2 linked regions of the Macaca fascicularis genome follow. The protein of the gene in region 1 interacts with the protein of each later gene in a pairwise test. Links are inferred from orthologs where the notes say so. Each region holds a gene or a part of one and is shown on either strand. Other genes may lie near its edges.

Evidence for each region.
Region 2: the proteins of TRIM63 (region 1) and TNNT1 interact in a two-hybrid assay, tested with the Homo sapiens proteins (2 studies listed by BioGRID and IntAct). The link is inferred for Macaca fascicularis from reciprocal best matches to the Homo sapiens genes TRIM63 and TNNT1.

The regions. Positions count from the first base shown.
Region 1 is NC_088375.1:209,028,560-209,032,303, forward strand, and holds the start of TRIM63 (E3 ubiquitin-protein ligase TRIM63), read left to right. Parts: upstream 1-1,444; 5' UTR 1,445-1,626; intron 1,627-2,592; coding exon of another isoform or gene 2,593-2,644; 5' UTR 2,645-2,671; intron 2,672-3,744. UniProt on the Homo sapiens protein: E3 ubiquitin ligase. Mediates the ubiquitination and subsequent proteasomal degradation of CKM, GMEB1 and HIBADH.
Region 2 is NC_088393.1:63,015,620-63,019,187, reverse strand, and holds part of TNNT1 (troponin T, slow skeletal muscle), read left to right. Parts: intron 1-158; 5' UTR 159-169; coding exon 170-201; intron 202-302; coding exon 303-316; intron 317-617; coding exon 618-641; intron 642-859; coding exon 860-892; intron 893-1,729; coding exon 1,730-1,751; intron 1,752-3,568. UniProt on the Homo sapiens protein: Troponin T is the tropomyosin-binding subunit of troponin, the thin filament regulatory complex which confers calcium-sensitivity to striated muscle actomyosin ATPase activity.

The DNA.
Region 1 (3,744 bases):
ACCTAAGTGACTTTCGACCGAAAGTGGCGGGCCCTCGCTCCCACTGCTCTAACCAGGCGCTGGGACGCGGGCCGGCCAGGCCAGACACCTGCTGGCACCCGGGAAGGGCTAGTCCCGGCCAGAGGTGTTGCCCGACGCGGCCACTCAGGCCGCGCTCATTGGCCAAGTGTCAGGCCCTCCCCCTCCTCGGCCGTGCTCAGATGAAGCCCGGAGGGGAGCCTCCCGAGCCCCTTTGCTCACAGGAGCCAGCCCAACAGTTGCCTCAACTCCTCGGGGCTGGGGGCTGAGGGCTGGGGGGAGGTGGCCCCAGTGTGAGAGGAGGCCGCGGCTGGGGCCGGTGGCCTGAGGAGCGCGGGGCCTTCCCCGGGATGACTCCGCTGACAGGTCTGTGACAGGCGTCCCAGGGAGGGAGACACATGCAGGGCCGTCGGCTCTGCAGCAGGGCCTCTCCGCCACGCCGAAGGGCCAGATTTACCTCAGGGTAGACGCCGCCGCTTCTCCCTCTCATGGGCTCTGCAGGCCGCCATTATCCGGCAGCTCGCGCCTCCGCTGCCGCCGCCTCCAGTCAGCAGCCGGCGCGCGCCCCCGTGGTGCGCGCGGACACACCCCCTTACGCCGACGGCCCCGCCCCCCTCCGGCTTTCCGTAGCGCGAGCCGGGACGTTCCGCGCCACCGACGAAGCGCGCGGCCGGCGGTCCGCTAGCCTCCTCCCTCTCCAGAGGATTTGCAGAGCCCGGAGTCGTCGGAGGTGTGCGCGCTCCGGAGCGCACCACTGCTGCTGCTCCCCACAGGGGTGGCCGGGCCCTGGAACCGCGAGGCCACGCCACGCCGGGGCTCGGCCACCCTCCAGCTGCAGCGGGCGCTCAGGGCCCGCGGCCCCAGGGACGGTCTGCAGCGGCAGGTCCCGGCCTGGGGCTGCGCGCGCCCGGCCGCGGCCTCCCCTCCCCCTACCCGCCCCTCTTCCGACCTACCGAGCTGCGGGCTGGGGTGCGGGGCTCGCTGGGGTGGAACGCCCGGTGCATCTTCCTCGCGGGTCTCGGGTGCTTGCGGGGCGCTGTGCTCTTTGGCGGGCCCGCCGGGAGGTGCGGCCCGACCAAAGAGGCCTGGCGTCCGCCCCGCCGGGAGGGAGACTGCAGCTTTTGTTCGAGTCACTGAGCCATGTTTGCGGGCAGTGCAGTTACCGAGACGGCGGCGGCGGCGGCAACGCGGGGCTGGGTGCGATCATCTGGGAGGACGCCGTCCCCTGCCCCGCCGGCGCGGTGGTATCTCCCTTAAAGAAGCCGGCGCCTCATTGTTCCCCGGCCGCGGCCGCAGGGAGCCAGGGCCACCTCGGCGTGGGGAGTGAGGGGACGGCGGCGCCTGCACCTGGCTGCGGTGCTCGTGGCGCCCCCCGGAGGCTCCTGGTGGAGGGTTGGCCTGCAGTCGGCGCGCAGGAGAAGCCTCGGTATGAGCCAGGATCCACCGCGCTCCGGCCGCTCTCGGGGCGGGACAGTCAATGGGGGCCCCGCCGCTGCCGCAGTCGCTCGGCTGCCACACGCTGTCAGTCAGATCCCTCACGCTGTCGGCCCCACAGCCAGCCCGGGGTCACTCAGGCCCGCATCTCTCAGTCATCCAGTTGTTAGATCAGTAAGCATCTGCCAGAAACGTCCATTCCTTCTTCCCCGATTTTTTCTGCACCCATTACTTACTTCTCAGCAGGGTGATGATTCCTCCTCCTTATATAGCGCTCGCTCTATAAGGCACGATGTACAAAGAATCCCTGTCGCTGTGCTCAAAGATCAACCCATTTTATTTTCTGCCCTCCATTTATTCCCCTTCTCCCGAGAGTCTGGCACTGGGTTAGGTCTTTATATAAATGATCTTGCTTAATCCTAACCAGACCCCACAAGGCGAGGTTTTATTATCCTGTTTTTACAGGTGAGGAAACACCTGCCTCTTTTCACTGAAGTGTCTATTTTGGGATGTGTCTACCTTGAATACCCACTCCTAGTGTAACACCCCCTCCCCTTAAAAAAAAAACAAACTAAAAAACCCATAACGATTCTGTAATCTGTTAAGATTTTTGTCCTGAGTGCCATCCAAGTGTCAAGTCTTCAGCTGTTTGCTGGAAACACTGGTGTCAGCCAAGACTTATTTCGTGCCCTCAAAAGTAGAGGGAATATATAGAAGGCTCTGCGAAGACAGCTAACTACCTATGTGGGTTATTGATCCGAATCAGGGGAGGGACCTCTCTCTCTCAATCAAAGTAGCGTTTTCATTTTGTCTCAATCATTAAGTATCATAGGAACCCTTGCTCTCAAGTTGGCTGCAGATGAGATTTGAAATCCACTCTCACCCCCAATTTAGGCTCACAGTTAAGTCTGTGAGGTGGGTTTAGATCTTGTGGGGCCTGAAGCTTAAATAATTTGGGGTGTCCTCCTGAGAAGAAAGGTTATAAAATGGCCCTGGGAACACATACCTGGAACATTGGAAAGGGTCCCTATAAGTAAAGGACTCTGAAGCTTAAGATTCATTAGCTTCAGGGTAAATGCTCCCTGTGCTTATTATGTTATGTAATTTTTTTTTTTTTTTTTTTTTTTTTTTTGCCTGTAGGCCTCCTGGAGGACTGAGAATTCCTGGGGGCAGGAACCTTGTCTGTGGTTGATCTCTGCAGCCTCCTCAATCTGATACGGTATCAAAATACACCTAAGGCTAGCATTCTCATGGCTGGTGGGAAGGCAAAGTGATACTGTTAACAAGGAAATTTGGCAATATATAGCCATATTATTTGATCCAGTAGCCCTAGATCAAATACTAGATTTCGAGGAATCTAACCTAGTAATATACTGGCAAACACACACACAAAAAACCAACAAACCTGTATGTACAGGACTATTCATTATGGCATTAATGAATAGCAAAAGATTGGAAACTGCTCACATGTCTAATGATAAAGAACTGGTTGAATAAATTATAGTACATACACAGGATGAAGTACTATGCAGCCATGAAAAAGTATGTGGAAGAGGCCTGGCGTGGCTCGCACCTGTAATCCTAGCACTTTGGGAGGCCGAGGTGGGCAGATCACTTGAGGTCAGGAGTTCGAGACCAGCCTGGCCAACATGGTGAAACCCTGTCTCTACTCAAAATACAAAAATTAGGCGGGCATGGTGGCACTGGCCTATAGTCCCAGCTACTTGGGAGGCTGAAGCAGGAGAATCTCTTGAACCTGGGAGGTGGAGGTTGCAGGGAGCCAAGGTCACGCCACTGCACTCCAGCTTGGGTGACAGAGCAAGACTGTCTCAAAAAAAAAAACCAAAAAACAGAGCAAGACTCTGTCTCAAAAAAAAAACAAAAAACAAAAGATGTGGAAGATTTCTTATATATACTAATAAACATATACTAATATCAAGTGATCTCTATTAAGTGAAATAAGCAAAGTGCATACAGTGTTTATAGTATGCTATTACATGTGAGTAATGGAGAGATAAATACGCATTAAGTACTTATATTTAAAAGGTAGACAATGGAAGAATAAATCCCAAACTTCTACAAAAATAGTTGCTTATATGGGATGGAGGGCATAGGGATGGGAATGAGACTTCTATGAATATACCTTTTATATAGTACAATTTTGGAACCTTATAAACATTTCACATGTTTATAAGACAGTTCAATAAAATAAAGCACTCCATAAAAATTAAAAACAAATGGAAACAAATGAACTATCTAATGTCAGATTGGTGGTGTAACACAGAGAAAATA
Region 2 (3,568 bases), on another chromosome or scaffold:
CAGACCCAGGAGTCCAGACCCCCAGCCCCTCCTCCCTCAGACCCAGGAGTCCAGACCCAGGAGTCCAGCCCCCAGCCCCTCCTCCCTCAGACCCAGGAGTCTAGGTCGCCCCCTCCTTGGGGCCCCACCCCACTGGGCCTCTTCTCTCTGTTTCTTAGGCCGCACCAGGATGTCGGACACCGAGGAGCAGGAATATGAGGAGTGAGTGCCGCACTGGGAGGGGTTGGGGCGTGCAATGGTGGAGAGGCTCTCCCACCCCAGGTCTAACTCTCCCCTCCCTCTTTCCCCACACCCGTCCGCAGGGAGCAGCCGGAAGGTGAGTAGGGAGTGGGCCGGCCCCTTGGGATGGAGACACCCCCAGGAACTCTTGGGACGGGAGGCGAGGCTTGTGTCACCCTGGCGGGGAAGGGGCAGCTCAGCCCTCGGGCCCTCGCCCGCCCTCTCCGGGTCTGGAGCGTCTCCCCGTGCCATCCCTGCACCGCCAGGGGGCACATGCCCAACGCAGCCGAGGCCAGAGGGACCCCCGGTCCAGCAGAGGCTGGAACCTTGGTCTCTGGCCACTCCCCGCACCCCTGCCCGAGCTCCTAACGTTTTCTCTTCTGTGCCCCCATCTCCAGAGGAGGCTGCGGAGGAGGAGGAAGGTGAGGTCCCGGACTCCGCAGGTCTGGAGCTGGGGGCGGGGGGCTGGGGGCGGGGACGCTGGGCCCGGGAGGAGGGGGCGGGACGGGGCTCCCGACGGCCTCGGCTCCAGGTCCTCTAACAGCCTCTCCCGTCTCTCCCTCTCTCCCCCGCCGCGCCCGGGCGTGGCCGCTCCCCCCTCGCTCCCCACACCCTCGCTGCTCCTCCCGCCCCTCCCCAGCCCCCGAAGAGCCGGAGCCGGTGGCAGAGCCAGGTAACCGCGGCTGCTTCGCTTCCCGAGACCGATGTCGGGGGCCCGGGGGGACCCCCGATATCCTCGGGCTCCAACCTCCACGACCACCCTTCCCTCCCTCCGCCCCCATAACCCGCCCCCAGGCCCGGTCCTTTAAGCCTCTGAGAGCTCCTGCGCCCTCTCGGGGCCGGGAAGGGAAATGGCCCTGCCGTGGCTTTAACCCGTTCCCTTCCTTCTTAAAGGGACCGACACCCAAGCCTTCTTCCCCAGTCTGGAGGAATCTTTATAGAAGGGTTGGATGTTTGCGGAGAAGCACCACCCCGTCACCCTCATCTTCGCCTCCGACCTTGCCTGTTATTTTCTCCCCCATATACATTCAAAGGTTGGGGCTTGGAATTTAGGATTGCAGAGGAGGCCAGCCCTGGGAGTCAGGGTCTCCAAGGTGGGGGTGGAGGGCCAGCTGGGGAGAGAGCTCTGGGGTCACTGAATAAAGACAGAGGTTGGCCCTCCCCGCACTGCTGGGTCTTAATGGAGGAGGGCAGGCGCTCTGGGCATATAAATAGAGAAGGGTCTGGGGGTTTGCACTCCTGGGAATGCAGACAGCGGCGGTGGGGGGTCCCCACACCAGTTCTGAATGTATATCTGATGCGTGTGACCCTCTTCCTCCTTTACAGCCTCCCTGACTTTCCTTCCCTCTTTTCTTCTTCCCATGCCCCTCCTCTGGAACTGGACTCCGGAGTCCTTCCCTGGGCTCCTGGGGGCCGAGGCTTGGGGGGTCCCTCCCCAGGGTGTGTCAGGCCTAGTCCCTCTCCTCTAAACTCTTGCTAATTATCTCTTTGTATCCCCCACCACCAACAGAAGAGGAGCGCCCCAAACCAAGGTGAGACCCTACAGGGTGGGGGGCCCCAACCATACATCTTCCTAAATATTCCCTCTATCCCCAGAGATAGGGTGTGAGAAAGGCAGAGATGGAGGGAGGAAATTGAAACAGCAGTCAACATTTCTCTACCTCCTTCTGCTCCTCCTCCCTCCCCCTCCTCCCTCCCCCTCCTCCCTCCCCCTCCTGCCCCTTCCCCTCTCCTTCCTCCCTTCACCTCCTCTCCCTCCTTCCGCCTCCTCCTCCTCTTCCTCTTTTTCCCTTTCCCCTTCCCCTTCGTCTTCTCCTCCTTCATCATCGTCATAGTCTCCACTCTATTACCCAGACTGGATTGCAGTGACCCAATCCTGGCTCACTGCCTGGACATCATGGCTTCAAGCAATCCTCCCATCTCAGCCTCCCGAGTAGCCGGGACCACAGGCATGTGTCACCACACCTGGCTATTTTTTTTTTTTTCCTTTTTGTAGAGCTGAGGTCTTGCTATGTTGCTCAGGCTGGTCTCGAACTCCTATCCTCAAGCAATTCTCCCACCTCAGCCTCCCAGAGTGCTGGGATTACAGGCACAAGCCACCATGGCCAGCCAGTCTGTTTCCTTCTTTCCACCCAATGGTCCCTCTTCCCCTCGCGCCTTTACCATCACCCCAGCCTCCTCTCTGGCCTCCTTGCCTCCAGCTTGTGGCTCATCCTCCTCCATGACTCCAGAGAGACCTTTAACACCAGCGCTAACCCCGCCCCTCCTCTGCTCAGAATCTTTCCTCAACTCCCCACTACCCTTAAGACAAGTCAAAGCAACTAGCCTGCATTCAAAGCCTTCCCCATCTGGCTCCAGCCGAGCTCTGCAGCATTTCCCTTCCCCACTGACAGACACACAGTATTTCATGGTTCTCTAGCCACACCGTGCTTTTATACCCCGAGCCTTTGCACACACTGTGCCCTCTGCCTGCATAGTGACAGGTGGGAGGATCGCTTGAGGATAGGAGTTCAAGACCAGCCTAAGTAACAAAATGAAGTCCCCCGCATCCCTACAAAAAATTTTTAAAAATTAGTCGGGCACAGTGGCACACACCTGTGATTCCAGCGACTCAGGAGGCTGGGGAAGGAGGATTGTTTGAGCCCAGGATTTGGAGGCTGCAGTGAGCTGTGATTGCACCACCGTATTCCAGCCTGGGCAACAGAGCAAGACCGTCTCTAAAACATAAATAAAAATAGGGGAATGGGGCTGGGCGCAGTGGCTCATGCCTGTAATTCCAGCACTTTGGGAGGCTGAGGGGGGCAGATTACCTGGGGTCAGGAGTTTGAGACCAGCGTGGCCAACATGGTGAAATCCTGTCTCTACTAAAAATACAAAAATAATTGGCCAGGCACGGTGGCTCAAGCCTGTAATCCCAGCACTTTGGGAGGCCGAGATGGGCGGATCACGAGGTCAGGAGATCGAGACCATCCTGGCTAACATGGTGAAACCCTGTCTCTACTAAAAAAAAAAACAAAACAAAAAAATTAGCCGGGCGAGGTGGTGGGCGCTTGTAGTCCCAGCTACTCGGGAGGCTGAGGCAGGAGAATGGCGGGAACCCAGGAGGCGGAGCTTGCAGTGAGCTGAGATCCGGCCACTGCACTCCAGCCTGGGCGACAGAGCGAGACTCCGTCTCAAAAAAAAAAAAAAAAAAAATTAGCCAGGTATTGTGGTGGGCACCTGTAATCCCAGCTATTTGGGAGGCTTGAGGCAGGAGAATCGCTTGAACCGGGAGGCGGAGGTTGCAGTGAGCCAAGATCGTGCCATCGCACTCCAGCCTGGGCGACAAGAGTGAAACTCCATCTAAAAA